Alligator mississippiensis: one gene and its partners. The protein of the gene in region 2 interacts with the protein of the main gene of each other region in a pairwise test. Links are inferred from orthologs where the notes say so. Each region holds a gene or a part of one and is shown on either strand. Other genes may lie near its edges. The genes, in order: AP1M1, AP1B1, AP1G1 and KIF13A.

Region 1 (7,882 bases), on a different chromosome or scaffold from region 2:
AAATGCAGACTGCTAAAAGCACTAGGAATATCTTCCTTCCTTTAATAGTCAGCGTCAGCAGGAACCCTAACAAAGGATTACAGTATCATTGAATCATAGAAATTTAGGGTTGGAAGGCACGTCAGGAGGCCGTCTAGTCTGACCCCCTGCTCAAAGCAGGACCATCCCTAAAGTCCAAAGTCTTTTTCTTTTTAAAAGCCACTGTAAACAAAACCAACCCCCCCCCCTCAAAATCAACCCCATATGTGCTAGTAATTAGAGTTTTGATTGTCTCCATTAAAGAGCATTTGAAATTAATTGTTGCAGAGTCATAATTGCTAATTTATAATTAAGTTAAACCAACAAAATAAATGCAACTATCTCATTTCCCCATGAAAACCAAGGATCATGTCTTCAATATATTTATGACATGTTTGCTAAAATGGAAAAGTGTAAATTATACACCCGTTATTTAACAATTTATAATATTTATCTGGTGGGCATAATTTTGAGAAGAATTTGCCCCACTGTTGGTTTTAACAGTGTTAACTAGGCGTTATCTTGATACTCTGATCCCTCTCGGCCTTTCAGGTATAAAACTGAAAACATACTGGGAGGGAGGGAGGGATATAGGAAACTTTCCTTTGTTAGAAGAGGGAAATGCCCTCTGGCTCTGGGTGCAGAGTTGGACACAGACCCGTCGGTTACAGCAGAGGGTTCGATGGGGATGTCAGGAAAAACGTCTTCAGTGTCAAAACAGAGGCAGCGGACCAGACATCTGGGGAACCTGGAGCCTGTCCGCGAGGCTGATGGGCAATGGTCGGAGAGGACCTGTGCGTGCCACGCCTGCGCTCTGCTGTGGGGACTGCCCAGGCTTCAGGGCTTTTCTGGGCCCCATATGGGGCCAGGAGGGAATTTTTCCCTCAGAGGCGGAGAGCCGCTGCAGCCAAGGCTGCGACTCACGGAAAGTCTTGGCCCTCCGCGGGTCAGAAAGGACTTCCCCCCAGGTCTCTGCCGTGTCCCTGGCCCTCTCTCAGGGATCCCTGCAGCTGACTCTGCCTTGCAGCCAGCCGCAGGGCGGTGGCTGCTGTGGGCTGTCGGCCTGCCCGGGGCGGGCACTGGAGGGCCCAGACGGGGTCTGTGGGGGCTGGCCGTGCCCCACAGCTCCTCCTCTCTCCGGGACTGCACCCAGGACGGTCCCCGCGGGGAGCTCTGCGCGCCCGGGGCTGTTGCAGGTCCCGGGAGCCGCGGGCTTCCCGCCGGCCGGCGCCGCGCGCGCGCTCCCTCACTCCGGCTGGGCTGGTTGCCATGGCGCCCCGCCCCGCCGCGCAGCGCAGCCTATCCCGACGCGCCTGGCGGGCGCGGCCCGGAAGTGCTCTCCACCCGTAACCCGGAAGTGCCGCGAACTCGGGGGAGCCATGGCGGAGTACGAGGGCGTCCAGCGCGGCTCGCTGCGGCTCAAGGCGAGCGGCGAGGCCCCGGCGGCGGCCCGGCGGTAAGCACCTCCTCCGGCGAGGGAGGGCGGCGGGGGCGCCCGGCTTCCCGCGCTACTTTTCATGCCGCCGCTCTGGCTCTGTCCCCGCAGGAAGAAGAGGAAGGACAAGGAGAAGAGCAAGATCCGGGACCAAACCGTGAGCAGCAAGAAGCAGGAGGAGGAAAAGAAGCGCGGCCTGGACAAGCGCACGCCCGCGCAGCTCGCCTATGAGAAGATGCAAGAGAAGAGGGTACGGGCCGGGCCGGGCGGCTCCTGCTGCCGGCACCGAGCGGCGGGGCCCGGGTCGGGTGGGTGGGTGGACGGGCGAGTCCGCAGAGCCCCGGCCCGCCCGCACGAGTCCGCGCTCTGCGGGAGTCGGAGCTGCGCACTCGCAGCGGCCCTGACCCAGGTTACTTCCCCGAAAAGATAAAGTGCAGGTTAAAAGGGAGGTGTTTTGTTGCGGTGAAAGGAGCTAGCATGACAGCGACCTGTGTCTGTTTTCACTTTCTCAGCAAATGGAAAGAATCCTGAAGAAGGCTTCCAAGACCCACAAACAAAGAGTTGAGGTGAGGATACGATTAGCCTTGTTCACAGTGTGTGTTCCCTTTGCTGTCTAGTCCAAATTATCCACCTGTCAGGATATGCAATTCAAATAGTTATTGTTCTAATATGTTTGTCTGGAAAAATCTCTTGCCATAAGTAATATGAAAGCTGTAACTTGCATGTTCTGGGCTCTGCTTGCTTTTTTAACAGGAATCAGTGGTGGGTGATTAGCAGGCATCCTGGTTTTCTGTTTAAAAATCAGTTTCTCTGATAAGAGGCAATGTTCTCCAGTTGTAACCTGCAGTCAGCATTTTTCCGTGATTAAAATGAAGTGCTACTATCTATATGGTATCAGTTCAACATCATGTTTTATTGATATATTTACTTTTTAAAGCAATTTGGAGGCCTACCAGTGCCTCAGTCATAAAATAAATTCTAAATACCTATATACTTTAGCATTTGATTTTGTTTTTTTATCATGGAACATCTGAATTCCCCCTGCCCCCTTTGCTCACAAGATGTAGGCCCAGCTGTGGCTGTCCCCTCCACTGCTTTGTAGCACTGAGATGACAGTCCCCGGGCCTTGCTGGTGCACCTCACTCCTGATCTGTTGCCCCCAGCCCCCCAGTGCATAAGGAGGGAGTGGGTATAGGCAGTGTGGTGGGGTGTGGGCATGTGCTGCCCAATTTCTGTGCCCACAGCAGGGCATAGAGTGCAGGGCTGCAGCCTGACCATACCAGCTCTGGGCAGGAGCCACCTATGCAGCCCGGCAGGTGGGACCCAGCATGGGAGAGAGCACCTCACTGCCAAGATGAGGCCCCCTGCCTCCCCAGCAGCAGCAGGGGGCACAAGTCTCTGCCTCTGCTGCTGTTGTGCCTCACCTTGGCAGCCATGGGACTGCATCGCTCCCTCTCGCTCTGGGACCCGCCTGCTGGGCTGTGGAGGGAGGCACCTTCTGCCCAGAGTTGGTCTGGCCCAGCTGAAGCCCTGTCCCTCCGCCTCTGCATCACCTGTACATTTCCCCCACGACTGTTGCCTGTGTCCCCATAGACGTACCTGGCGGGAGATGCTCTCTACCACACTGACTAGCTGATGCATGCATTTCTATGCGCACACATGCATGTGACACCCTGTGTCTTGCTTCCCACAGCCCCTTGCAGGCTGGAACTGTGCCAGCCTGTGAAGGAAACCCATGGCTTCCCAGGTTTTTCCAAAAGCTCTTGGAACCAAAAGTTCTTGCCATCAGATATTGGAATATGTACCAGACTAACTGAGGCATGAATGTAATGAAATGTGATGGATTAGGATAATCTTTACAGAAAGAAAAGTTGATAATAGAGGAACACATCAAACTGGTGGGCTAAGAAAGGTAAATTTGATTGGTATCGTGTATTGTCTTTAAATACAAGAACACAGAATTATTCAGTTAAATTTAAAAGGCTACCAATTGAAAGCTGCTAAAAGGTAACTAACCCATATGGTTAACAGCCACAGGATACAATTAAAGCCTAGAATTCAGTGGGTTTCAAAAAATGGATTAATCATTTTATAATGAGAGGATGTTAGAGATATAAATCCACATGATTCAGATCAAAAGCCAACTGGGCTATCCATTGCATAACTGTCTATTGTACAGCTTTTTGGCACCTTTCTTGGTGGCACCTGGTACAAGATGCTGACTAACGGGATACTGACCTAAATTTTCAACTCATTTAATCTGGAATTACTAAATTTAAAGTAGGCAGAAAGCATGTTCAATATTCCAGAAAGTTGACACACACTTTTTTTTTCTCTCCTAGGATTTTAACAGACACTTGGATACTCTGACTGAACACTATGACATCCCCAAAGTCAGCTGGACTAAATGAATAGCTTTTCTTACTCGGTTCTGGATTATGAGAAGCATTTATATTGGGAGGATTTGCCTAGCGTAAATTTCTGTGATCTCTGCATTGGATACCTAATTCATTTTTTAAAAAACTTTTGCATGCTGGCAGTACTCTTTAAGTGCTTGTTTAGAAATATGTACAGCACACCCCCACCTTTACTGAACAATGAATAAAGGCCCTAATCCTCCATTTATCTGCAGAAGTCCCCTTTTTTAGAGTTTGTAGGAAAACTTCTGGAGAAATTTCATATGTAGGGTGTAACGATCACTGGTTGACAGTGCCTTCTTTTGAAACAAATGTTTTTGACAGTCTTTTTTTAGATGCAGACAAGTTACCTTATTGAATTGTTCCTCCCTGGGTACTATAAACCTGTAATCTGTTTATAACTTTTCTAGAAACTCTAGAAGGTCAAATAAAAACTGCATTTAAAATAATTTTTAAAAAATGTACCTGGTGTAGGGGATGAGGAGGGGATCTTGACAGCACTTTTCCTCTGAGCTAGGCTGTACCTGCTAGCCTGTGTTTGCCGTCTTTAGCGGAACCATAAATGCAGCTCTGAGCACCTTGTAAACGCACGTTGGGGTTGTTCCCTCGCACGTGAACGGTGCCCCTTTCTGAGCCCCCAAATCCTGCTGTGCACTTTGACTTCCTCGCTGGCCCCCGAGCTCGTGTACAGCGCGTGTAAGACGTGGCACAGAAGAAGCGGCAGTGGGAATTCAGTTACTGCTCTCGGCTGTCTGCTGCCTGTGCTGGGCAGGGCCCGCCCGCGGCTCAGCACAACGCAGCGCGGCTTTCTGGGGACAACTGAGCACCGGAGCGGAAGGCTCTGACCCGGCGCCTCTTTGCCGAGCCTTCCCGGCACCGGCACCGCCCCCGCTGGCCGGCCCAGGACCTCACAGCGATGGCGGCGCGCGCGCGTCGCCAACCCCGGAAGAGGGGACGAGGCCCCGCCCCGCGCGCCGGGTCGAGCTTCACAGCTTCCGGCGGGGGCGGAAGCGGGGCTACTTCCGGCCGGAAGTGCGCGGGCGAGGCCGCGGGGGGCAGGAGCCGGCAGCATGTCCGCCAGCGCCGTCTACGTGCTGGACCTGAAGGGGAAGGTAGGCCTGGCTGCGGGCGGCTCCCTGGCGGCCCGGCCGCGCCTCCCCATGTCCTGCCGCCCGGGGCCCGCAGGACAGGCCGGCTTCTCTCGGGCCGCCCCTCCCCTCCCCTCCCCGAGGGCTGGCAGCGGCGCTGCCCGAGGAGCACGGGCCGGTGGGAGCCGCTCCGCTGCGCGCAGGCTTCCCTGAGTCCCAAGGGGCGTGTTTCGCTTCTCTGCCGAGCGGCAGCGCAGGCTCTGTGCTGTCTGACGGCGGGTTTGTGCACGTCTCTAGCTGCCAGGCGTCCGCACACCCTCCTCACGGCGGAGCAGTGCCGTTCTGTCGGTGCAACACTTCTCGGTCCATGTATACAATCTAATTGGAGAGTCGCCCCAAACTTGTTCCCCCACCCACCCAGCTGCAGCAGCAGATGGGGGGGGGGGCAGCCAGCGGGGGTGGACTGGAGCAGCTTGCCTCCTGCTGCCGGTCGTTCACCCCCACCACCCTTAGCCCCCTGCATCCTGATCCCTTTGTGCCTGTCGCCTTCTGGCGAAAGGCTCCCCACAGGCACGCCACCTCACTTCCCACCACCTTGGGGCCCTGTCTTTGCTCCCTTCTGGCCACCCCTCCCTGCTTACCCTGGCTCCAGAGGGCTGCCCCTGCTCCATCCTGGGGCAAGAGCGCCGTGGCCATGCGTGGCGTCCCAGACTGGAGTGGGGACAGCTTGCCACAGCAAAGGCGATTGGGGGGGAAGACAGCAGCTGCAGCTCTGCCCAACCTCCAGTCAGGGTTGCAGCCACAGCAGCTGCCTACTCTTCTCCCTCCATGCCTCCCCCTCACAATAGTTGATCCCAAGATAAGGGTTTTTTTCCCCATGTTAAATGGGAAAAAAATCTTGTCTTGGTATCAAATACAGTGTGTTGTAAATAAAAGATTTCCACAAGCATTTTGTAATTTAAATAACCAAGTGGTTTGTGGTTCCACCATACAAGTATCAATTTTAGTCACTCAAATTAGTTGACCTCCATTTCCAAAGGTCATGTATGTTATTCAGATGACCACTTCAGGTGTGTTGTCCATTTGGTTCTCTATTGTACTCATCCATTGCAGGTCCTCATCTGTCGAAATTACCGTGGAGATGTCGATATGTCAGAGGTTGAGCATTTTATGCCGATCCTTATGGAAAAGGAAGAAGAAGGAACACTTTCCCCCATTCTAGCTCATGGAGGAGTTCGTTTTATGTGGATTAAACATAACAATTTATATCGTATCCTTTGGAGTATAGGCTACTTAATAGGGTGGAAATGTTGACCGTGTGAATTTTCACAATGGAAGTCAGCATGGCGGGGGAGAGGGGGGGAAGGTTTTGCAGAGATAAAAAACAGTTAAGGTCAAATTCCCATTAAATACCCTATGAACCAAAAATATATATGTTTAAGTGCCAGTGCAACCAGTATTTTCTCAATGCTTACCTGTCTTTGCTTTTCAGTAGCTCAGCATTTAGAAATGAAATGGCATACCTAATGAATGGTTTCCTGAGTTTTTGGGTCAGCTACAGTGCCTTAGTAAACGTTTTTGAAAAGGGATTTAAAAATAAAATTAAAAAAATGGGAACTTTGAACAAACATTCCTAAACTTACTTTTTTCAGTTGTTGCAACTTCTAAGAAGAATGCTTGTGTCTCTCTGGTGTTTTCATTCCTCTATAAGGTGGTTCAAGTGAGTACACAATTGATAAAGTACTATTGTTCTTTCAGGGAAGTCATATTGTTGTTTACAGCTTTAGAGGTCTTTGAATTCTTACTGCTGCGTAGAAATAGTACATCTAATTATGCTATGGTTATATTTTGGTGATCCTTTTGCATTAACTACTAATATTTTATTATTGCACATCAGAAGGGCTTTGACAAAAACAAAAATCAATACCTTCCTCATTTCAAAGAGCATATAATCTAAAAGATACCCAGAAAGGAAAATAGGAAGCCCAAAAGGAAAGGTCATCTTTGGGACAACTGCTTTGTATGCACAACTAGCATTGGAAAGATTAGAAAAATGTAGTGGCATGGTGAGCTGAAAAAGGATATAAGGGGCAGGAACAGGGAAGGAAACAAACATAACAGTTACTGTAGAGGAAACCAAAAGTGGGAGATACAGGAATATTGTTGCACAATTACTTGCAGTCAGCCTTGAAAATATGGATGTGACTAGGGGTGCACCGATAAAGACTTTCTTGGCCGGTACCAATAGGGGATTATTCAAGAGGCATATCGGCTGATACCGATCCAATAACCGATTTCCAGGAACACAGCTGGGCAGTGTCAAGAGCAGCTCCCGACAGGTAAGTCTGTGGAGGGAAAGGGACATGGTGGAAGGAAGGGGTTGGGGCAGATCAAAACCCCCACAGTGTGGGAGGCAGCAGGGTAGAGGCTGGGGCTGGAAACACTGCCCAAGCAGGGCAATGAATGGGACCCTGGGGCTGGGGCAGTGAGCAGGATGGAGCTGCAGGCAGCTCATTCAGGGGATGAGCATCTCGGTGCCTAAAAATGGCAGCAGGGGTGCTTGAACTAAAGCTCATTAAATGAGCTTTAGTTCAAGTGCTGCCGCCATCATTTTTAAGTGTGGGGATGCTTTTAGGAGTAGGGTGGAGGTGGGCTAGCTGCTGTGGGCTCAGGGCTTTCTACCCTGCTGCCTTTGCCCCAGGAGCTGTGCACTGGCCATGTGTTCCCTGACCACCTGGCAGCAGGAGGCACAACTTGCCACCCCCACTGCTGGGAGATGGGCAAGGGACATATGGCTAGCGCACAGCTCCCTGGGCAAAGGCAGCAGGGCAGAGAGCCCTGAGTCCATAGCAGGCAGCCCGCCTCCACCCCACATAAAAATCCAGAGGAGCATGTGCCCTCCCATGCCTGAGCATGCATGCAGC
Region 2 (7,008 bases):
AAATCATTCTGCCTGGCACTATCTCGGAGCGTCTGGAAAACCCAGGCCTTTTCTCTGGGGGAGAAGAGTCTTTCATTGTCTTTGACATAATGTCCTCTCCCAGAAAATGCAAAAGTGCGAGAGAGAACAGCTAGCCGGGAGACTGAAGTGAAGGGAGATTTTTGATGTCTTCTATATAGTACAATTTGAGCAGGCAAGGCGGTAGAAGAGGCAGGATTTTAAACTAGAATCCCGCCATTCTAATAATAATATTAGTTAAAATGGAATCTAATCCCATCTCTAATCTCAGGACAGATGTGGAAGTTGGAGGAGGAAGACCCATAAGAGCCCTGAGAAACTTATTCTGAGGTATATCCACATCATTACTGGCAGCATAGCCCCATTCTTCAGCACCATACAGGATCTGAGACGCAACTTTGGCTTTATGTGCTAATATGGGAGCTTGGACTGATTGTCCTGCTGTGGTTTCATAAAATTTCTTTATGGCCACTGCCAGTTGGGCTGCCTTAGTTTTAACCGACTGAATGTAGTGTTTCCATGATGGAAAAGCTGTAAACATCACACCCAAGTACCTATAGGTTTTAACAACTTCGAAGCCTACTCAGTTTAGAAAAGACACTTGGGAGGAAGGGGGCCCATGATAAAGGTTTACAAAATGCTAAACAGTGAAGGGAAAGTAAATAAGGATTTATTATTTACTGGCCATGTCTACACAAGATGCTGACTGCACAGTAACCTGAGTTACTGCACAGTAGCACCAAAGAGCAGCTTTTTCGTGAAACTACTGTGCAGTAGCTTAATAATACTGGGCAGTAGGGTTGCATCATGGTTGTTACCATGCAATGCTACTGCGCTGTAGCATGAGGCTACTGTACAGTCAGCATCTTGTGTAGCCGCAGCCACTCCTCACAATACAGGAACTAGGGGTCACAAAATGAAATGAGTTGCTACTAAGTTTAAAACTAACAAAAATACATTATTTTTCACACAGCTTGTAATTAGTGTGGAACTTCTTGCCACAAGGTGTTGTGGAAGCTGACAGTTTAGACAGATTCAGAAGTAGATTGGTTAGATTCTTGGAGGAAAGGCACATCCATAGTTGTTGAGCACAAACAGGAGTCAGGGCTACAGCCTCTGAATCAGAACTTCTTAGACTTTAAATGCTGGAGGCTGCAAGTGAGAGAGGAACAGTGGAAAAATACCCTGGCCACACCCAGGTCACTCTCCCATTCAGCATCCATACTCTGCCCTTGTGTGACCCAGGAGTTGGGTAAACTGGACCATACGTCTGACCCAGAAAATAGCAATTCTCATGTTCTTGTGTTCTTGACTGTGCTTCCAAGCCATGGGTGGAAATGCTGGGGCAGCAAGTCTATGGCTCAGTTATCTGTAGTTAATTTCTTATTTGTTGAGGGCACAAGCACAACACAACATGAGAGTGATATATTCTGGAATTTACTGCATAGCAAGAAGACACAGGACCAGCTCTTCCAGGCTAGCCACCCATGGTAGGAGCTGTTGCAGTGCCCAGCTGCTAGGGAGAAGGGGAACTAAAAGGTCTTTGACCAAAAGACTGCCCTGGGATGAAACTAACTAGAGGAGCGGACATAAAACTAGTCCAGTGGTGCTCAACCTTTGGCCCATGGGACCATGTCATCTGACCCATGGGGCTCCCCACGGGTCTGGAAATTGAACAGCAGGAGCAGTGGCAGCATTACTGGTGGCTTCCAGAGCTGTATCAATTAACATTGCTGCCATTTCCCTGCCACCAAACTTCTGGGTTTGTGGAGAGCCCCATAGACCAAACTTGTCCGTGTGATCCAGCCTGAGGGGCTAGAAAGTTGAGCACCACCGAATTGGTCTATCAGTTTATGCAGGTGTCTAGAAGATGCTCCTGACTTTCTGCAGGGCAACTATGCCAGTGTGACTTACACTGGTATAAGCTTCTGCATCATGTCTCCACTTCTCTTCTGCTAGAGAGTAAAGTCATAGAATCACAGACAAGGAGGGCTGGAAGGGACCTCAGGAGATCCTATCTAGTCCAACCCCCTGCTCCAAGCAGGACCATCCCCACCTAGATCATCCCAGCCAAAGCCTTGTTTAACCAGGTCTTAAAAACCCCCAAGGATGGGGAGTCCACAAGCTCTCTGGGTAACCTGTTCCAGTGCTTTATTACCCTCCATGTGAGAAAGTTTCTCCTAATATCTAACCTAAACTTCCCTTGTGGCTGTGCGGGCCGGGCCCCGAGCCCGCCCTCGTCGCCATGCGCGGCGGTGATTCCGATCCCATTCTGGCCGCCATGGGCAAGCCGGGGGCGAACCGGGGTCGTACCAGACCCGTCTCCGGTACACGCGGGCTGTGGCCGTCAGCCCGGACACGCGGGGTGGGAGAAACCGCGGGATGATTTTGTGCACACGAGTTAGAATTAGTCACGGAGGCGTAACGGTTGATTGAAAAGATTGTTTACTTATACCCAAAGATGATATCGGTGTAGGCTGGACAAATTTCCAGGCACAGCTCCCGCTTGAACCCTCATTGGAGGACTCTGACAAAACGATTGCTCCCACGGAGTTTGCTAGGCTCCGCGGATTTTGTTATTCGGTTCCCAGGCCCCCGGAGCTGTTAAGACTCCGTGGGTGCGAAAATTGAGCTCGGTCCGGTGTCTATTCCCCGGAGTTGCTGAAGCTCCGCGGGTCCGGTTAAGTTGGGTTCGAAGTTTCCCCGGAGGTATTCAGGCTCCGCGGGTCTGATACGTTTTCCCCGGAGTTTGCTAGGCTCCGCGGGGTCCGAAATTATAGGAAAGGGATACGTCTAGGATTGCGCTCGGCGACGGGGAGAGGTGAGAAGCGAAAGCTCCGTAGGCTCGGTTCTGTTACCTCTCTCTGCCTGCTTAGGGGAGGCGCGCCGGGTCCGCGAGGGTCCACAGCGCTTGGAGATCTCCACACAGAATATCTCTCTCTCCTCCCTCCTCCGGTGTTATTGGAGTCTTCCAACTTGGGTGGAAACCACACAAGCCTTATGTACGGCTAGCAAGCCAATCGCTAGCTGCCACGTGTGCCTAAATTAGGAGTTGGCCAATAACATGGTGTAGACCCTAATACAGATGGTGGGAACTTCTTTGCAGCGAGCATCACTACGATGCAAAAGAGATGCATACTGCAAAGAAGCTGTAATTTGGCGGGAAATCCCCCATTGCACCAGAGCTCTCTCTAGCAGCAGAGAGCTTTACCGTGCAAAGAAAGTGACAAATTTGGCGAGAAATAATTTAGCAGTGCCAAAGCGCACACACAAACAAGAAGTCACAACTTTGGATTGTGACAGTGGCAACTTGAGACCGTTGCTCCTTGTGCTGTCATCAGCCACCACGGAGAACGGTCCAGCTCCATCTGCTTGCAAACCCCATTTCAGGTAGTTGAAGGCTGCTAGTAAATCCCCTCTTAGTCTCCTCTTCTCTAAACTAAATAAGCCCAGCTCCCTCAGCCTCTCCTCAGAAGTCATGCCCCCCAGCTCCCGAACCATTATCACTGTCCTCTGCTGGGGTCTCTCCAATTTGTCCACAACCTTTCTGTAGTGGGGCCCCCGAAACCGGACACAGGACTCTAGCCTAACGTTCATTTACTCCTTACTAAATACCTCATATCCCTGTCTTCAAAGTCTCCTCCCTTACTGGGCTGCACCAACAGCAATGGAGGATTGTAGGTTTTTATTTGGAAGTAGAGCAGCGGTGCGCAGTCTCTACCCAGCCGCAGGCCACATGCACGTGGGGCCTGTCCGTGGGTCGGGCAGTCCGTTCTGCCACCCGTCCTCCGCGCCCCACCTACAGCTCGGGAGCGGGTCTATGGTGCCCTGGCACTGGGGCATGGGTCTGCAGTACCCCTGCCGCGGCCCCCGCGCCGTGCAGCTGGCGCCGCACGTGGCGGCTCTGCGCAGCCTCCGGCCCGCGGGCAGAGCGCGGCCCGGGACGCGGGACACGCCCACTCCCGCGCACAAGACCCACCTCCCGCGCGTGACCCGGAAGCACTTCCGCTGCGCGCCCTCACTTCCGCTGGGCCGGGGGCAGTGGCGGCCGCGGGTGGAGCAGCAGCGGTGGGGCCGCCGGGTAGGAGCGGAGCTGTTGTTGTGGCTCGTGCGGGCGGCGGGGCTGGAGTCGCTCGGGCTCGGGCTGCGGCGCCTGGGCAGGAAGCGCCGGGAGCGGGACGGGACGCGACGCCTGGGCGCGCGGGAAGCCCCGGCCCCCGGGGGGCGCCTCGTGCCTCAGGCTCGCCCCGCGCCCGGGGGTGGCGCTGCGGGCACCCACCCGCGAGAGGCTCTCGGGGCTCCCAGGGCTGCGCGGCCCCGGCTCGGAATCGCTGCTCTCGTGTCTGTGGCCGGGGGTCGGGCTCGGGCTGTCTCCTTGGGGAGCTGCGGTCACCTCGCCTGTGGCTGATACGGGCAGGGTCCAGCTTCCCAGCTCCCCCACCCTGTTGCACCTGCACGCTCCCTGGCGTCTCTTGCCTGCTCCTTACACTCCTCTCTTCAGAAGAGAGCTTGGTCTCACTGTTCGAGGCCCTTGGCACAGCCAGTAACCGTCCCCAGCGAGCAGAGTACTGTGCTATCTGCATGTCCCGTGCTGCTGGCACTCCTGTGTGTGTGGGGGGGGTGGTGGCATAAGAGCAGTGTTGTAGCTGCGATAGTCCAGAAATTATGTGAGCGGCAAGGGCTTCTTAGGGCAGTGTCTCTTCTTGGACCTGCTAGGGAGGTGGGTTAAGCTAGACAAGCTTTTGGAATGCAAGGCCTTGTGTATAATGCGCGACTGTTTTTCCCTGCAAGGCCACACTGGCCTGATATCTGTAACTGAAACTTCAAGCTGACCTGCAAGCAGCCTACAAGCCCTTCACTTCTTGGGAAGCAGCGTTTTGAAACTCTAAACCTGATCTCTTGTACAGAGCGCAGCAGCCCCCCAGGCTTCGAATTCATGCCCGCTTCTACAAGCGGGATCGAGCAGCCCAGGTAGACCTGTAGGTTTGCTGTCGGCTTCCCATGTGTTCCTGCTGTAACTCTCTCCTCCTTCCCGTGGTGATAACTAACACATTCTTGCAGCTCTTGTCAGGATTTGGTTTTGTGTGGGTGTATAAAATTGGCTGGTAAGTGTGTGGGGGGGGGGTTCCCCCTTGTGCATAAGAGCAGTGAAAGCTGAATTGCAAGGAGAGATGTTTCACTTCCCCACCATCAAATGAAGTCAGTGACATGAATCATTAATTTTATGAAGCCATCAACCTCCGTGCTTCTCCTCCTTGTGGAGCCTACTAGGCTGAGAGCAGGTGCTGCAAGGTCTTTCTCATGCCAGGCTGCTGCGTTGCAGAGCCTCAGTGGCAGAATGAAATTCTTAATATTAATGATTTGAAGGTAAACAGCCTGGAGTTTGTTACAAGATGAAGGGCGATATTGGCTGAGATAACAAATCAGCATGACTTACTTGCAAGATACTGTTACTATGTGGCTGTTCACTGAACTGCATGATGTGAAAAATCATTTGTACTATGGCATTAATTGAGTCTTCTCTTGGTAGTGCCACTGTGTTGGCTGAAGGCAATAGTTCCGTGGAAACAACTTGTGACCCTTGTAGTTACTCCATCCACATGATGGTCCTCACATTGAGAGGAAAGCAGTTCTTTGAATTGGAAGTGCAACCGGTAACACAAGATGTGCAACACTATTTGGCAATCAGAGGTCACAAGCCAAGAGAAACCTAAAATATAACCAGAGCAAAATAAATTTAGCTGCGTAGAAGTACTGATAAATAAAATACACCTTTTGGCTGGGGGCAGGTGACCAAGAGCATAACTGGGCAGCATAGGAGGTAGTGACCTGCAGGTAAGTCTGTAGAGGGGAAGGGGTATGGGGGTGGGGCAGATGGAGGCCCCCACAGTGAGGGAAGGGCTGGGATGCTGCCCAGCCAGGATGGTGAATGGGACTTGGGCTGGGGCGGAGAGTGGGACAGAGCCACAGGCAGCTCATCCAAGGGGTGGGGGTGGCTCCCTGCTGCTGTGTGCCCCTCTGGGAGAGGTTTGTGGGGGGCATATTCTTCCCCCAGACTTATGCATGGGGCAGAGGCAGGTTGCCTGCTGTGGGCTTGGGGCTTCCCACACTGCTGCCTTTGCCCAGGGAGCTGCATGTTGGCTGCACATCCCCTGCCCATCCAGCAGCAGTGGGGGTGGTGAGTTGTGCCTCTTGCTGCTGGGTGGGCAGGGGACATGGCTCAGGCAGCGCACAGCTCCCAGGGCAAAGGCAGCAGGGTGGAAAGCCCTGAGCTCACAGTGGGTGGTCTGCATCTGCCCTCAGCTTGCTTGGCTCTGCTCCTAATATCATCCCTGTGCTTAAAAATGGTGGTGGTAGCACTTGAACTAAAGCTCATTTGACGAGCTTTAGTTCAAGCACCCCCACTGCTATTTTTAAGTGCTGGGACACTGATCCTCTGGATGAGCTGCCTGTATTTCTGTCCCATTCCCTGCCACTACCCCACTCTCTCCCTCACCGTGGGGGCTTCGATCTGCCCCCCTATGCCCTTTCCCCTCCACAGATTAGCCTCCAGGGTGCTGCTCTCCACACAGCCTGGCTGTGCTCCTGTAAGTCGGCTGTTGGATCAGTATCAGCTGATATGCCTGGTGAATAATTGGCTATTGGTACCAGCCAAGAAAATCTTTTTTGATGCACTCCTAATTTATTGTATATAGCCTTGACTTCAGGCTTATAGATGTTGACTTTCTCTCTCTCTGGAAAAGTTGCTACTGCCTACAGTCCTAGAAGCCATTCAGTCCCGAAGCCCTGTTCTTGTGCTAAACTTTCTTAGTGGGGGTGGATGAATCCTGTGTAAATAATAGCAGTTTTCAGTCCTGCCACATGCTCCTTCATGTACAGATAGCCTGAGAATGAAGGGTGTTGTGTTGATGGTGAGGATGTCTGCTTTGCTGTGTCTGAGAGCCAAAGGGTCAAGCTTATCATGGTGCTGACTTCCATTTGTCCATCTGG
Region 3 (7,982 bases), about 51 Mb from region 2:
ATCAAGACAGCATTCTTGCAAGCCAGGCCTTTAACACCCTCACAAAGGAAGCAGCACTCTTCTCCAGCAGCATTAAAAAAAATTGAAGCAGCAAGAGTCTTCTGAAGATAAAACAATTCCAGGTGGCCCAAAAGTGGAGGGGGGGAACCAATATTGTTCTCTATGATCTTTACTGTGCATAAGGCTCAAGTGTCTGCATCAGGACAGGTTGGCTGAACAAGTGAATATTACCCCTTTAGAAGCTAAGCAATGGAGAGCGGAGGGAGATCACCAAGGCCACACCATAAATCAGTGAGACAGGCAGGATTACAACGCCAGAGTACCCACACCTCAGTCACCACAACCATGCTGCCCTTTACTGTTCTCCTCTGTTCCTGCTAATACGATCAACACTCAGCTCTGGTTTCCGATATACAGATGCATCTTTTCAGCTCCAGAGCAGACCCCAGAACCTCTGGGCTGCTGCTCTAGCCCAGCAGAGAAGAACCCTTTTTCAAGGCCAGATGGAAACCCTGGGGCTCACGGTGCACTGCTTAGGCAGCATCACTGCATGCTGTCAGGTGACCTCAGCCAAAGCCCAGGAAGCATGACCTTCAGAGCAGATGTAGCCTTCAACTTCCCCAGTCCATTCAACTTGTGGCCTCTGCCAAACTACAAGCATGGAGCCAATTACTGCCACCTGTAACACAAGGAGGGGCCCACAAGCAACTCAAGCACAACTGTCTGGCACATTCATCAGGTGACCATGACTCTTCACCACTTACCAGCCTCAGCTTGATTTGCTACATGTCCTGCAATTACCAGCACCAAGAATCCTAATCCAATAATGTAGCTGCCGACACAACAGTAGAGCAGACACTTTGCCCTAGAAAGCATCAGAGAAAGATCTAAAATAGGCCACTCCAAACAAGTTTGCCTATTCCTAGCACGGTAAGAAACCGAAGGTCAGTTTCAGGCTATGGAAATCACCAAAACCTCAGAGAGGGCTTAAACAGCCACTCTCAAAGGGAACGTAAGTTTTCCTTGCTAAGTGCCAAAAATGTGTTAAGAAGCTTCTACCACTTAAGGTCCAGAGTGACTTTCCAAATCTAAAACATGAAGAATCAGTGCAGCACCTGCCTAAGTCTGCTACCATCTCTAGGGCCCGGCTGCTCTCCCGAGCTTTGCCAAGGAGTCGTGTGAAAAGTTCCCAGCCTCCCTCGCTGTCTGTGATGTTATGCAGGACCCTGTGCAGGGCGCTCTCCAAAATCAGACTGCCTTCTCTTGCCGTTTGGCTGGCGTAGGCAGAAAGGCAACACTGGCTTTGTTCACTGGAGCAGAAAACCCTCCAAACCAAGAGGAGTTCAGAACAAGGACAGGCTAGCAGAGAAGTCATTCCCACAGCAGCCACCAGCCTCTTGTTAGGGCCAGAGCAAAGTGCTCATTTTCTCCCTTGTACATCCTAGGATGAGGTCTCAAACCTACCAGATACCTAGCAGGAGGAATATACATGTGAGATCCAGGAATCACACCCATGTAGGAAGGTGAACTCCCAGCCTAAAGGAGAAGCAGAGGGGGTCCATGCTGCTCATACTTGGGAGAGCAAAACTTCTCACCTCAGTTGAACTCTCAGGTGTCTGGTAAAGTGAATCCCCCACAGAGAGCAGATGCAAGCAGATAACGAGAAGCGAGACAGGCAGAGAGAGAGAGAGAGAGAAAGACCGTGCACACAACAGGGGGAAAGGAACAGGCCCTGAAAACAGATAAAATAAGCTTCCAGTGTAGCAAGAGAAAACAGATGCTGAAGCCAGGGAAACCAAGTGTGAAACACACCACAGCCAAAAAAGAAAGCAAGTTATTTTGCAGCAATATATTAAATAGAAAAGTGAAATCTGTAACTGCTCTACTGCTGTGAGCTGCAGTGCTGGGGCCCGGGGCGCCACGGAGGAAGAGGCACCGCCAAGTCGGGGAGTAAGCAAAGAAGCATACACCCCAAGTCGCCAGCACCCCCGGGAGACCCGTTTCCACACCGCTGCCTCGCGCGTCGCACAACGGCTACAACCAGCGCCGCCACGTCGGAGCCGGTCTCCAGGAAAAACACGCTCGCTGCCGGCGGCGAAGAGGCTTTTCCCCTGCCAGTGAACGCAAGCCGAAACAGGAAGCGGCAGTCGCTGTAACGCGCGCGGAGCTGGACAAGCTCGAGGGGACGGTGCCACCATCCCAGGATCCCTCGCCGCGGCCGGCCAACGCGACACGAGCGGCCCCACGGCTTCGCCCCTCGGGACGTGTCGCAGGCGCCCGTCTGCACGCGCAAAATCGCCTGTTCGGGAACAGTCGGCCTGCAGACCGCCGCGCGCGGGCCGGAGCGGGACGCGCACGCCGCATGCGAGCCCCGGGGCGAACGCATGGCCCGCTGCGGCCGGCACCCTCCAGTCCGGAGGGACCCCTGCGAGAAGAAATACCTATCGCCCCCGAGACAGACGTGTAAAACCTTCGTCCGCTTCCTGCTGGTGCCGGGAAAACCTGTCCGGGAGGGGACAGGGAAGGCAGCAGAAGCACACGAGGCGCTGGGAAAGCCGAGGACGGGACGGGGAAGGCGGGCGCGGCTGCCAAGCAGAGCAGGGCCGGCGGGGGCCGCGGCGGGACGGGGCGGGGCAGAAGATCGAGACGGGGCGGGGCGGGGCGAACACCGGGGCTCGGGGCGGGGGGGCCGCACTCACCGGGCCGGGCCGGGCGCCTGCAGCGGACGAGGCGGCGGCAGGGCCAGGCGTTCAAAATGGCGGCGCGGCGGCCTCAGCACCGCTACGGCAGGCGGAGGGATCCGCGCCCTCGGGCGGCGCCCGCTCGGCACCCGCCCCTGCTCGCCCCTGGGGACGCCGCCGCAGCCGCCGCGGCCGCCCCGCGCACTCACCTCGGGCGCGGCGGGCGCGTAGCGCGGGCGAGGGCCGGGCCGGGGACTCCTTTTCCCGGCGGAAGCGCCGCGTTCTCTTGTGCGCGGAGGCTGCGCAGCGCCGTGGCAGGCAGTGATGACGTCAGGCGCTGATGGCCGTGGGTGTCGCGGCTGTACCCGTCCGATCGGGCCCCCCGGCCCCGCGCCAAGGTTCCGCCCGCCAGCCGGCCCCGCCCCTTCCTGTCGCCCGCCGCCCACTTCCGTCGCGCCCCGTGCCTTGCCCGCGGCCTCGGGACAGCCCGTGCGGCGCTGCGGGCCTAGGCCAGGTGGCACGAGCCCAGGGCACCGGCGCTGCGCGGAGCCCGCTCGGGCCGCCGCGCGCTGTGTGATGTGCTCGACAGGCCGGCCCGGGCCCGGGCGGTGCCCGGTAGCCATGGCAACACAGAGCCAAACGTCATTCCCGTGCGCCCCAGCCCCCGCGGGGTGAGGCGCTTCCGGCGCGCGGCCTACACGTCATCGCCGCGCGCCGCGCCGCGGGGAGGGGTCGGGTCGGGTCGGGCCGGGCCGGGCCGGGCCGATGGGGGCCGGGGCGGCGGCGCCGGGCGATGGCGGGTGAGTGGCGGGGAGGGGAGCGGGGTCGGGGCCGGGGCCGGGGGGCTCGGCGGCGGCGGCGCTGACGCTGTCCTCCGCCCTCCCCCCGCAGGTGAGGCGCAGGCGGCGGCGCGGAGCGGCGGGGCCCGCGGGCCGGCGGCAGCATGAGGCCGGCGCACGAGCGGAGCCAGGAGTGCCTGCCCCCCAAGAAGCGCGACCTGCCCGGCGCCGCCAGCCACGACGCGGCGCGCCCGCCCCTCGGCGCCGCCAACCACGCGCCGCCCGGCGACGGCCCCGCCTGGGCCCGGGGCGCGGCCGCGCGCAGCCCCGCGCCGCCCCCGCCGCCCTCGCGCTACGGGCCGGCCGGGGAGGGCGCGGGGCCGGGGCCGGGGGCCGAGGCGGGGCCGCCGCTGGAGCCGTACGGGCTGCTGTACAAGGTGGCCGTGCCGCCCGCCGCCTTCCCGCCGCCCGTGGTGAGCATGAGCCCACTGCCGCCCGCCTTCGGCGTGGCCTCGTCGCTGCTGCCGCACGCAGGCGTGCCCTACCCGCCGCTGCACTACGCCCAGCTGCCGCCCGCCTCGCTGCAGCTCGTGGGCCCGCACTACACCGTGCCCTACGCCGTGCCGCCCGGCTTCCTGCCCGGCCCCCTGCTCTCGCCCTCCGCCGGCCTGGGCGCCTCGCACGTGCCCCACTTCGTGCCATACACCTCTCTGCTGACCGAGGAAGCCGCCGCTGCCGCCGCCTCCCCTCCGACTACCTCTCCCGCCCACGCCTTCAGCAAGCCTGCCTCTGCCCTCTCCCCCTCCAGCCAGGTCCAGCACCATGCTGGCGCCCAGCCTTTGGACATAGCCCAGGGGAGGCTTCCTGTTTATTACCACATGTCCCGGCTGCCCCCGGGCTTCTCTGCGTACGAGATGTCTGCTGCCGCTGGAAGCCCGGATCCTCCCGCGCAAGAGAATCAGCTGAATTCGGACGCAGCGTCTGCCAATGGCGGGCAGAGACATCTAGAGCATCACGTGGTGCGGAGGACTGGCGAGGCTGTGGACTGTGCCAGCAGCAAAGCCGAAGCCCAGCTGTGTGGGGCGGCCGTGGAGTGCGTGTTGGATGGACAGTTCCTTTCAGGTTACCAGACTCTGAGAGCAGAGGTCTCTGTGCCAGCTCACAGAAGCACCCCGGATACTGACCTGGAGGTACAGAGGGTGGTTGGGGTGTTGGCCTCTCAGGATTACCCGATTCTGGCAGCCCAGAAGAAGGATGGCCTGAGCCCTTTAAACCTTTGCCATAACATCCCTGATCAGCAAGGGGAGTCTGGGGACTTGTGGAGGAGTCCCATGGAGGCGGCTGCTGCTGCTGCAGAGAAGAGCCAGCCCAGGAGCCCATATGCAATGTCCCCCGAGGAGCCAGCCAGATACAGACAGCTAACCAAAGGAATGGCGATAGCCAACGGCAAGCCGGTTTTAGTGCCGGTCGGGTCCGAGCCCATCAGGTCTTCCTCCTCAGAGACCCTGATACGGCAGAGTCCCAACACACTGGCCCGGGGGAACATGCTGGACAAGGATTTGGGCCCGGTGCAGCCCCCCAGCTCCTCCCATCTGCCTTCCCATTTCATGAAAGGAGCCATCATCCAACTGGCCACCGGAGAGCTGAAGCGGGTGGAAGATCTGCAGACCCAGGACTTTGTGCGCAGTGCAGAGGTGAGCGGGGGCCTGAAGATCGACTCCAGCACAGTCGTTGATATCCAGGAGAGCCAATGGCCTGGGTTTGTCATGCTGCATTTTGTAGTGGGGGAGCAGCAGAGCAAAGTGAGCATCGACGTGCCCCCAGAGCACCCCTTCTTCGTGTATGGCCAGGGCTGGTCCTCCTGCAGCCCGGCGCGGACTGCCCAGCTCTTCGCCCTGCCCTGCCACAGGCTGCAGGTGGGGGATGTCTGCATCTCCATCAGCTTGCAGAACATGAATGGCAACTCTGCTTCTCAGGCGACCTGCCCTCCCGCGACCCAGCTTGTGCCTGCCAGGGAGCGAGCTGACAGAATGGTGCAGGGGTCCAGAGAGCACCCCCCTGCACCTCTGCACAGTGAGAGGAAGAGCCAGGCAGAAAGGGACAGCGCTGCCCACGCTGCCTGTGCGGAGCCCTCCCAGCCTGAGCCGGGTGGCCAGCACAGCTGGACAGCCCCCAACTTCCAAAGATGTACCACGCAGGGGGAGGAGCCCCGGCCATCCCTGCTCCGTCCCTCCTTCATCCCCCAGGAAGTGAAGCTGTCCATTGAAGGGCGCTCGAATGCCGGGAAGTAACGCTGCGAGGCCCTCACCTGGGTCATGCCCCTGGCTGAGCCCCCCTTTGTCAGGTGGAGATTTTGCACAGACTGAGCGACGGGTTGACCGGCGAGGCTGCTGTCTGCCTGCAGAGCTGGTTCGGTTCCTGTTCAGTCACTGATCAGATCCTCTCCTGGAATCCAGAGGGCTCCAGTGCCTCAGGGAGCAGCAGCAACAGGCGAGTTAGGGATGGAGGATGGGGGATGTGGTCATGGCTGTGTGGCCACAAGCATTCCAGAGCTCGGGGCTCTCGCACGCCCCTGAGTGCCTGAGCGTCCTGCAGGCCGGGGATGGAGCACTCGGGGGTGGGGGCGGGAGGGGCGGACCCAGGAAGCCACAGCCCAAGGTAGCAGATACAGTATCGGAAGTGTTTGTTCCTCTCTATGGTGGTGGGGAGCTGGGTCCCTGCGGGGGCCAGGGGCACCGCTCCCAGCCTCCCCACTTTTCACACATGCACTTTAAAAGGACACTTCGTCACATGTTGAGCTCTTGGGGTGGGGGCAGGTGTTTCTCCGACAGCCTCTCCCTGACATGTCTCCTCCACTCAGTCCCATGGGACTTTCTGCTAGCAAAACCCCTGCAAGCGTTGAAGGAAACCAGAGAGGGAGGGCCAGGTTGGGGAGTGGGGTGTGGGCAAGTAGGGGCCTCAGGCAGCTGTGCTGTGGCAGGAGGTATTGGTAGTTCCTGTGATAACGCCAAACGCAATTACTTGCCACCGAATCTGAGTCCGATGGTTGTGTTTCCTAGTGGCAGGTGCTATAGCAAAGGAGCCGGCGAGGCTGCATTTCAAACCTCCCTTCGCATGTGCTTGCTTCCAAGGAAAAATCCCTCTGGCTCAGATGTCCCATTCCTGGGCTCAGCTGCAGGCAGGCTTCTGGGCAGCTGGAGCAGCAGCGAGCGTGAGAACCTGTCCTTCCACTGGGGAGCACGAAACTGCAGCCGAGGGAAGTCTGCCCGGTGGCTGCTCGCCCCCTCCAGGCGAAGTCCCCAGAAAAGTTACAGACATGGAAGAGCCACGTCTAGGCCAGGCATTCACTGCCACCAGTCATTCAGGAGTGTTCAGAGTAGCGTTGCCACCCCTTGGGCCATGTCATAGGTGTCTTTGTGCCGGCTGTGCTGGGGCTTCTTCCCTGGGTGCCAGTGCCGAGCCACCCCACAGAATGGAGACCAGTCATGGGGAAGGTGGACATGGGCTGAAGCTGAGGCATCATTCAGGGATAACGCTGTACGGGCAGCACTCAGTCATGCCGGCAGCCTTGCATGGAGCTGCCTCGGATGGCATGGGTGTAGGGGTCAAGAAAGGACAAGACCCAGGCATTGTCTGTGCAGGAGTAGACATTGTGTGGTGTTCAGGTTGTCAGCTGTGTCCAGATCCTGCTGCTGAGGGTGGGTGTCTCTTGGAGGGCACATGCCCTGATCCCCTTGCTGGGATTCTGCTGCTCTCACCCTAGTTCTGTTACCACTCTGTTGTTTTCAACCCTGGGCTTGTCTCCTGCTTGGAGGCACCACCCTGCCTGGGCAGGGCGCTCAGCACCCCCTGAACCTCTGATCTGTCCCATGTTGTTTTGCAACACTGGTTGCAGCTGTTCCTGGGAGCTTGTTAATATTCACTCAAATCCCCCTTGATGTGCCTCAGACTGAGCTGGCCCTGGTGCTTCTACAGTACACGGGAGCCCAGTGCCCAGAGCATGTCCCCTCCCACATGCCTGTCTCCTGCCTCCAGCCCTAGGGCCCCAAAACACTCCTGGACACGGTTTCTGTTGTTTCCAAAGTATCAGCACCCGCCTCTCCCCAGGCGAGCAGTCACATTCCCTGCCGTATTGGTCCTAAAATCAGGAGAGTATCGCAAGCCTTCATGCCTGTGGCCTTGCCCAGGCACAGGTGCTGACTCTGCAGCTTCCCAGGTCAGGCCACCCGTCCTTGTAATCCCATGGTCTAAAGCCTCAGTGACCTTGCCTGAGCTTCCTGTCCCCTGGGCAGCAGCAGCAAAGAGGTAGCCGCCTGCCCTGTACTGCACCATTTGGTCCAGGTGCCCAGCTTGTGCCTAAACATTGTCCCTCCTGTTCTGCTTGCAGCTTGTAGGCCTGCTGTGTCACAGGTAGGCAGTTGGCCTGTGGCTTCCGGCAGTCTAAGGCAGGGGACTAAGCAAGGGAGAATGTAACCATGGCATGGCTGTAGTGGTATGGACAGAGACTTGTGGTTGTGTGCAA
Region 4 (7,211 bases), on a different chromosome or scaffold from region 2:
ATAGCAGCAGTAACCCCCGCGGCAGCAGTTCAGCCTTTAACAACATTGACTCCCGAAAAAACAGCTTGCCCTGCAATCACGGTTGGCCCGGCAACGGATGGGCGAGATGTCATCACTAGTCGCATTCGTGCTTGGACAGATCTACAACAATGTTATAAAGAATCTGAGATGGAATCTGAAGAGGCTATAATTTCATGGCTAGATCTTATGGCTACGGAATTTAAATGTGATTAAAGAGTAATCTTCTTTGTCAATTGCTGAGACTGCGTATCCTGATGGAGCCAAGATTGTCTTATGATCGGGACTGTCAACACCTGACTAGGCCTCAGGGCACCAGATGACGTGGATCCGATCTCCCACCACTGCCACCGAGAAACCTAGAGGAGCGATACATGTTTGGATTTTTCCTACAGCGTTCTGGACTTAACAAGCGGCAGCTTCGGATTTTAGGGGATGCAGGCCAATGGCAATTAGCTTATGAGTTAGGTTTCCGGTATTTGGAAGAACCAGATGATGAATCTTCGACGATCTCGTCTAATTAAGCCATAGGAATCGTTTAAAATTGTTTAAGTTTGTTAAAATAGGTCATTAATCTGTTTTGAGAGTTTTCTGTTTACAGATCCGGAATTCAGAGCGTATGGCGAGGAGGAGCCTTAAGAGAGATGACATCACTGAGGAGAGTGAGGAGACGTGTGACCTCGCCACGATGCCCATTGAAGCCCTGATAGTGCAATTTTGTTATGAATCAGATTGTGTTTATGTTGATTATTATTTCTTGATTGTTATGTAACTTGATCCCAGGACAGCGAATTTTATGTTTGTGTATTTGCTTGATGGCTTGTTTACTCGTTGGATGATCACGACAAACTTCTAGATTGCTCGAAAGAGTGTGGCATAATTTAGCTATGCTCTCAGCAAGGGGGGATGTCACAACCCAAAGTTGTGATTTTTTGTTTGTATGTGCGCTTCGGCATCGCTAAATTATTTCCCTCCAATTTGTCGCTTTCTTTGCACGGTAGAGTTCTCTGCTGCAAGAGAGAACTCTGGTGCAACGGGGGATTTCCCGCCAGATTATAGCTTCTTTGCAGTGTGCATCTCTTTTGCATCATAGTGATGCACGCTGTAAAGAAGTTCCTGCCATTTGTATTCGTATTCGCGCCACATTATTGGCCCATTCCTAATATAGGCCCACGTGGCGGCTAGCGATTGGCTTGCTAGCCGTACAAAAGGCTTGGGTAGTTTCCGCCCAAGCCGGAGGAGGGAGGACGAGAGAGATTCTGTGTGAAGATCTCCAAGCGCTGCGGACCCTCGCGGACCCGACGCGCCTCCCCTAAGCAGGCAATAGAGGCAATAGAACCGAGCCTACGGAGCTTTCACTTCTCGCCTCTCCCCGTCGCCGAGCGCAATCCTAGACGTATCCCTTTCCTGTAACTTCGGACCTGCGGAGCCTAAGTAACTCCGGGGAAACTTTTCGAACCCAATTTAACCGGACCCACGGAGCCTAGCAAACTCCGTGGGAGCAATCGATTTGTCAGAGTCCTCCAACGAGGATTCAAGCGGGAGCTGTGCCTGGAAACCTGTCCAGCCTACACCAATACCATCTTTGGGCGTAAGTAAACAATCTTTTCAATCAACCATTATGCCTCCGTAACTAATTCTAACTCACGTGCGCTAAACCACCCCGCGGTTCTCTCCAGCCCCATGTGCCCGGGCTGCTGGCCACAGCCTGTGTGCAACGAGTACGGGTCCGGTACGACCCCGGTTCGCCCCCGGCTCGCCCATGGCAGCCAGAATGGGATCGGAATCACCGCCGCACATGGCGATGAGGGCGGGATCGGGGCCCGGCCCGCACAAATCAAAGAACACATTTGTGCAGGCCCGGCAGGGGAAACGATGCTGAGGGGAAACCAGCACGGGTTTGTCACAGGTGGAACCAGCCTGACAAACCTTGTAGCCTTCTATGACCAGGTCACACGCTGCCTGGACGTGGGAGCCGAGGCTGATGTCATCTTCCTGGACTTTAGGAAGGCCTTCGACACAGTTTCGCACCCTATCCTCATTGGGAAGCTAGCAGACTGCGGAGTGGATGCCTACACGGTCAGGTGGGTGGCCAACTGGCTTAGGGACCACACCCAGAGAGTGGTGGTGGATGGTTTCTTCTCGGCTTGGAGGGAGGTGGGCAGTGGGGTCCTGCAGTGTTCGGTCCTTGGACCGATATTATTCAATATCTTCATCAGCGATTTGGATGAGGGCTTGGAGAGCAACCTCTCCAAGTTCACTGATGATACCAAGTTATGGGGCAAAGTTAGTACACCAGAGAGCAGGGAGCAGATTCAGGCTGACCTGGACAGGTTGGATCAATGGGCAGAGAGAAATAGGATGCAATTTAATAAAGATAAATGTAAGGTACTCCACCTGGGAAGGAGGAACCCCCAGCACACCTATATGTTGGGGAGTGTCCTTCTCAGCAGCTCGGAGGCAGAAAGGGATCTTGGAGTCATAATCGACTCCAAGATGAACATGAGCTGGCAGTGTAACGAGGCCATCAACAAGGCCAATCACACCTTGTTGTGCATTAGCAAGTGCATGACTAATAGATCAAAGGAGGTGATGCTCCCCCTCTATGCGGCACTGGTCAGGCTGCAGCTGGAGTAGTGTGTCCAGTTTTGGGTGCCGCACTTCAAGAGGGACGCAGGGAATCTGGAGATGGGTCAGAGGAGGGCCACTCACATGATTAGCGGCCTTTGTGATAGACCCTACGAGGGAAGCCTGAGAGAGCTGAATCTCTTCAGCCTTTACAAGAGACGGCTGAGGGGAGATCTTGTGGCCACCTATAAACTTATTAGGGGAGGTCAACGGGGAATAGGGGAAGCTGTTTACTAAGGCGCCCCAGGGAGTGACTAGGAATAATGGGTGTAAACTAATTGAGATTGGATTTAGGTTAGATATTAGGAAGAACATTTTCACAGTAAGGGTGGCCAGGATCTGGAATGGGCTTCCAAGAGAGGTGGTGCTATCACTTAGCTTGGAAGTCTTCAAGAGGAGGCTAGATAGTCACCTGGCTGGGGTCATCTGGCCTCAGTCCTATTTCCTGCCAGAGGCAGGGGGTCAGACATGATATTCTGTTGTGGTCCCTTCTGACTCTACAATCTATGAACCTATGACACCCAGATGGGAGGGAGAGCAGGGCTCCGCGCTCCACTCCACCGCAGCAGCCGCTGCCTGCTATAGGCGACAACTGGGACTTTGACGCTGCTGTGGGAGGCAGGGGGCTGTGGACCCAGGTTCCTGGCCCTGTAGCCCTGGCAGCTAGGGGCCCCCTCCAGCAGGGCTGGAGCGGCAGGAGGCTCTTGGTTGTGAGTGAAGGGCACTGGCAGGGCTGGGGGGCTGCAGGGTGGGAGTGAGGAGCATAAACAACAGTGGGGGGAGGCTATGGGGGGAGCAAAGGGTACCAGCAGGGGTGGGCAGTGGCAGTTTGGTGTTTTTATCAAAGAATTTGTGATTTTAAAACAGAGGAGACCCAGATCCCCGAAGTAATCACTTCTATTCTATTTTCAGTTCCCTTTGTACTAAATCGTAACATTTTGTTTGCCTTTTAATAGCTGCTGGGTAGTCAGCTGTTGTTTTTGGCCAGTAGCTCACCATGATTCCCAGATCTTTCCCCTGTGGCAACCCATCACGTAGCCCCCATCACAGTGTAGGGATAGTTTGGGTTATTTTTTTTGCCCTGGTGCTTCACTTGATCCTTAGCTACCTTGCATTTCACCCACCATTCAGTTGCCCAGTTGCTAAACTTTCTAGATCCTTCTGCAGCCCTTCTGCCAAGAGGTGTGCTGCAAAAGACCACACCTCAGCCCACCCCTCCTTAATCTTCCTGCTTTAAACTAACCCTGCTCTACCCCTTCCCCATTGCCCACCCTCCTCACTGCCCTCCAGAGCCCAGCTCTGAGCACGTGACACGGGACGAAGTGCGACGCAAACACGTGACGGGCCAACCGCACTTGCGCAAACATCCGCACGAGGGGAGGAGGGGCAGTGTGCGCATGCTCAGTCATCCGCACCTGGGGATGGGCGAGGCTAGTTTGCGCATGCTCAGAGATATCCGCACCAGGTGTGGGGAGCCGGGGGGGCGGTTTGCGCATGCTCGGGAGGCGGAGACGCCTGCTGTGGGTGGGGCGAGGTGGTGCCCGCTGGGCGGGGCCCCGCGGCCCCGCCCCGGCCCTCGCTCGGTTCCCGAAGACACTCGGCTCTCTCCGGAGGCGTCCGTACCCCGTCTTCCCCCCCCCCGCCCCAGTCCAGTCTTCCAGGGCTGAGGTTTGGGCGCGGGGCCGGCGCGGCCGCAAGATGGCGGCGGGTGCCGCTGAGCAGGCGAGGCGGGGGCCGGGCGCGGCCTGAGGGCGAGGGGAGGAGGCGGGGGCGGCCGGGGCTGCCCCATCACTGGCGCCGTTTCGCCCAGCCACCCGGCATGGCCCGGCAGCCCCGGCCGCTGAGGCGCTGACCGTCCTCCTCGCCGCCGCCCACCCGCCTGGCCATGGCGGACACCAAGGTGAAGGTGGCCGTCAGGGTCCGGCCCATGAACCGCCGAGGTGAGCACCAACCCCCGCCCTACCCCCCTCCTGGGCGCCGGGCCGGGGGCAGCGCGGAGTCCTGTCCTCCCTCGACGGCCATGGGTCCCCTGCGGGCTCTCTGCGGGGTGGGGTGCCGTCGGGGGACGTGTGCGCGCCCTGCTGGGCATGGGGTAAGGGTTGAAGAAGGGGGGCAGGGAGTGTGGGGGTGCTCTCTGCTGTGCACGGGAGGAAGGGGGGATGTGGAGAACCCGCTGGGGGGGGAGGGGGAGTGAGTGACCGCGTGTGTCCTCTTCTGTGCAAAGGGAGGACATGGACAACCTGTGCATCTGTGTGTGTCCTGGGGTTGTCCACTGCTTTGCATAGGGGTAAGAGGAGGATGTGGAGAAAGGTGGGTGCGTTAATGGGCTTGTTCTTTTCTGTGTATGAGCAGAGGGAGGATGTGGAGAAGCTGGGGGTGTGTGTATGTGCAGAGCCATCCCTTAGGGGTGTGTGAAGTCCAGGGCATGTAAGTAGGGTGGGGGGACGGGTGGCGAGCGGCCAGAGCATGGAGCTGGCGGTTTGCTGCAACAGAGCTGGTGGCACACGGTGGCTGTGGCTGGGCCTGTACAGCACTGTCCATGGGGCCCCCCAAAGCACAAGGCTTGGGACAGATGCCCCAATTGCCACCCCCCACCCGGGACAGCTCTGTGTACATGTGTGCATGCTGATGTAGGTATGTATGTCTCCTTTTGCATGGAAATAAGGAGATGTGGAGAAGCTCTAGGCATGTGCATGTGTGTATATATTTGTGTGTGCGGGGGTGTTCCCATCTCTATATGGGGGTGAGGGGAGGATGTGGTGAAGCCCTGGGGGACGTGCGTGCATGCATGCACATGTGCACGGGGAGTGTCCCTTTCTATGCATTGGGGTAAAGGGAGGATGTGGAGAAGCCCTGTGAATGTGCACGTGTATGCATTTGTGGGTGTATCCTTCTGTGCATGAAAGCAGGGGGAGGATGTGGAGAAGCCCTGTGTGTTGTGGGGGAGGGATGTCCCCTTCTGTGTTTGGAGGTAAGGTTAAGATATGGAGAAGCCCTTGTGGTGTGTGTGGGGATTTGCAGGGGTGTATGTGTGTAGTGTGTGTTCCCTCCTGTGCCTGGGGGCAGAGGGAGGATGCAGAGAAGCCCTTTGGAGTGTGGGTTTGTGTGTGGGGGTCCCCTTCTGTGCATGGGGAAGTGGGGAGGATGTGGAGAACCCCTGGGGGTAGGGGGGAGGCAGGCTGTCCTTTGCAGGGTGACCATGTAAAGAAGGCACATTGTGGGGAGGGAGCTGTGCTGTGCAGGGGAAGGGTGTGAAGAAGCCTGGGGGAAGAGGGTTGTGGAGAAACTTTGTGTGGCGCTGTCCCCCTCTGTGTAGGGGCAGGGTATGCAGAAATCCTTGTGGAGAGAGTGTGTGTCCCCCCTTTTGTGCATGGGGCCAGGTGGAGGTTTCTCAGACAGTGGGTAAAACCCTTTCTGTCCTGCTCTCTTCCAGAGCTGGACTTGAATACCAAGTGTATTGTGGAGATGGAAGGGAATCAGACTGTGCTGCACCCTCCGCCTTCCAACACCAAACAGGGAGAAAACAGGTAAAAACACAAAAGAGATTGCTTCCCCCGGCCTATGTCTGACCCTGCCTAGCTTGGATGAAGCAGTGGGTTAGGACCTTGAATTGTTTGAGCACTTTTGTTAAAGGAGCAGCAGTTTCTCAAATCACTCTGGGTCTCTTTTGGAGGCCGTTGCGACTGGCTAGAAAGGAGTCTGATGCTCTTTTGCTCACAGCATTGTAAACTAGGGTTATTCTCAATGGAATTGCATCAGTGAGACATTGGATTTAGGCCCCAAGTTTCTGGTTCCAGGAACCCTCGGAGGAATTAGGAGCATTGGTATTATGTGTGTGGACGCAAGGCGATCACTTGTAGACTTCACTGTTCAAAGTTGATTGTTTCGTTGACTATTAGATAAGGTAGATGATTGGTCAGCTATGATTGTTGGTAATAGTTTTGGCCCTTTCTGTCATAGGGACACTGTTAATGAGCTGCCGTAACCTTCAGGTTTGATTTACGAAAGCAGAAGAGTGCTCTGAATTTTGCAGATGCTAGGGGTTGTTTTTTGGGTTTTGTTTTTTTTAAAGACTGTATTTCCTAGGTTGCAGCATAGTTGCATTTGAAATGTTGGAACTGCTGGATCCCTTGTTAATGCTGTGCTGCTCTATGAAGTACTAGAGGAGTGTGCTAAAATAAATGGGAAAGTTGGCATTAGTTGTGAAGCCCCTATAAAGACTACTTTTGGAAATGGTCCAAAATACCAGTGCACCAAACTAAAAATAGATCGGAACAGGAAAGACTTCCCCACGCCCCCAAAATAGGGCAAAAAAAAAGTGGGGAAGTGAGAGCAAGAGTTGCATTGTGTGCTGATCTTTTCAATTACTTGTTGACTGTACTTGTTGCTCCAAAAAATATTTTTAGTTAAGAGCAGAAATTTGGGTAGATATAGCTTATGGGTATTGTCTTGTAACTTTATCCCCCCTATCCAATAACTGTAGATGCTTTTTGTTTTTTGGCTTGGCTTGGCTTTGAAATCTGTGTAAAGCAGTGGTCGTGAAACTAGTTGATTGCAATTGACTG

Evidence for each region.
Region 1: the proteins of AP1B1 (region 2) and AP1M1 interact in a two-hybrid assay, tested with the Homo sapiens proteins (2 studies listed by BioGRID, with this or other methods). The link is inferred for Alligator mississippiensis from reciprocal best matches to the Homo sapiens genes AP1B1 and AP1M1.
Region 3: the proteins of AP1B1 (region 2) and AP1G1 interact in a two-hybrid assay, tested with the Homo sapiens proteins (2 studies listed by BioGRID, with this or other methods). The link is inferred for Alligator mississippiensis from reciprocal best matches to the Homo sapiens genes AP1B1 and AP1G1.
Region 4: the proteins of AP1B1 (region 2) and KIF13A interact in binary tests that used the Homo sapiens proteins (3 or more experiments, as listed by UniProt). The link is inferred for Alligator mississippiensis from reciprocal best matches to the Homo sapiens genes AP1B1 and KIF13A.

Annotation. Positions count from the first base shown.
Region 1 is NC_081839.1:225,081-232,962, forward strand, and holds the start of AP1M1 (AP-1 complex subunit mu-1), read left to right. Parts: upstream 1-4,875; 5' UTR 4,876-4,940; coding exon 4,941-4,982; intron 4,983-5,907; exon of another isoform or gene 5,908-6,071; coding exon 6,072-6,228; exon of another isoform or gene 6,229-6,610; coding exon 6,611-6,678; exon of another isoform or gene 6,679-6,765; intron 6,766-7,882. Other genes in the region: protein FAM32A, read left to right, coding at 1,398-1,474, 1,565-1,703, 1,966-2,019, 3,796-3,864. UniProt on the Homo sapiens protein: Subunit of clathrin-associated adaptor protein complex 1 that plays a role in protein sorting in the trans-Golgi network (TGN) and endosomes.
Region 2 is NC_081833.1:26,528,804-26,535,811, reverse strand, and holds the start of AP1B1 (AP-1 complex subunit beta-1), read left to right. Parts: upstream 1-4,008; 5' UTR 4,009-4,099; intron 4,100-7,008. UniProt on the Homo sapiens protein: Subunit of clathrin-associated adaptor protein complex 1 that plays a role in protein sorting in the late-Golgi/trans-Golgi network (TGN) and/or endosomes.
Region 3 is NC_081833.1:77,568,211-77,576,192, reverse strand, and holds the start of AP1G1 (AP-1 complex subunit gamma-1), read right to left. Parts: upstream 3,009-7,982; 5' UTR 2,891-3,008; intron 2,804-2,890; exon of another isoform or gene 2,700-2,803; intron 1-2,699. Other genes in the region: ATXN1L (ataxin-1-like), read left to right, coding at 3,625-5,751. UniProt on the Homo sapiens protein: Subunit of clathrin-associated adaptor protein complex 1 that plays a role in protein sorting in the late-Golgi/trans-Golgi network (TGN) and/or endosomes.
Region 4 is NC_081826.1:127,634,161-127,641,371, forward strand, and holds the start of KIF13A (kinesin-like protein KIF13A), read left to right. Parts: upstream 1-4,202; 5' UTR 4,203-4,531; coding exon 4,532-4,586; intron 4,587-5,095; exon of another isoform or gene 5,096-5,280; intron 5,281-6,079; coding exon 6,080-6,173; intron 6,174-7,211. UniProt on the Homo sapiens protein: Plus end-directed microtubule-dependent motor protein involved in intracellular transport and regulating various processes such as mannose-6-phosphate receptor (M6PR) transport to the plasma membrane, endosomal sorting during melanosome biogenesis and cytokinesis.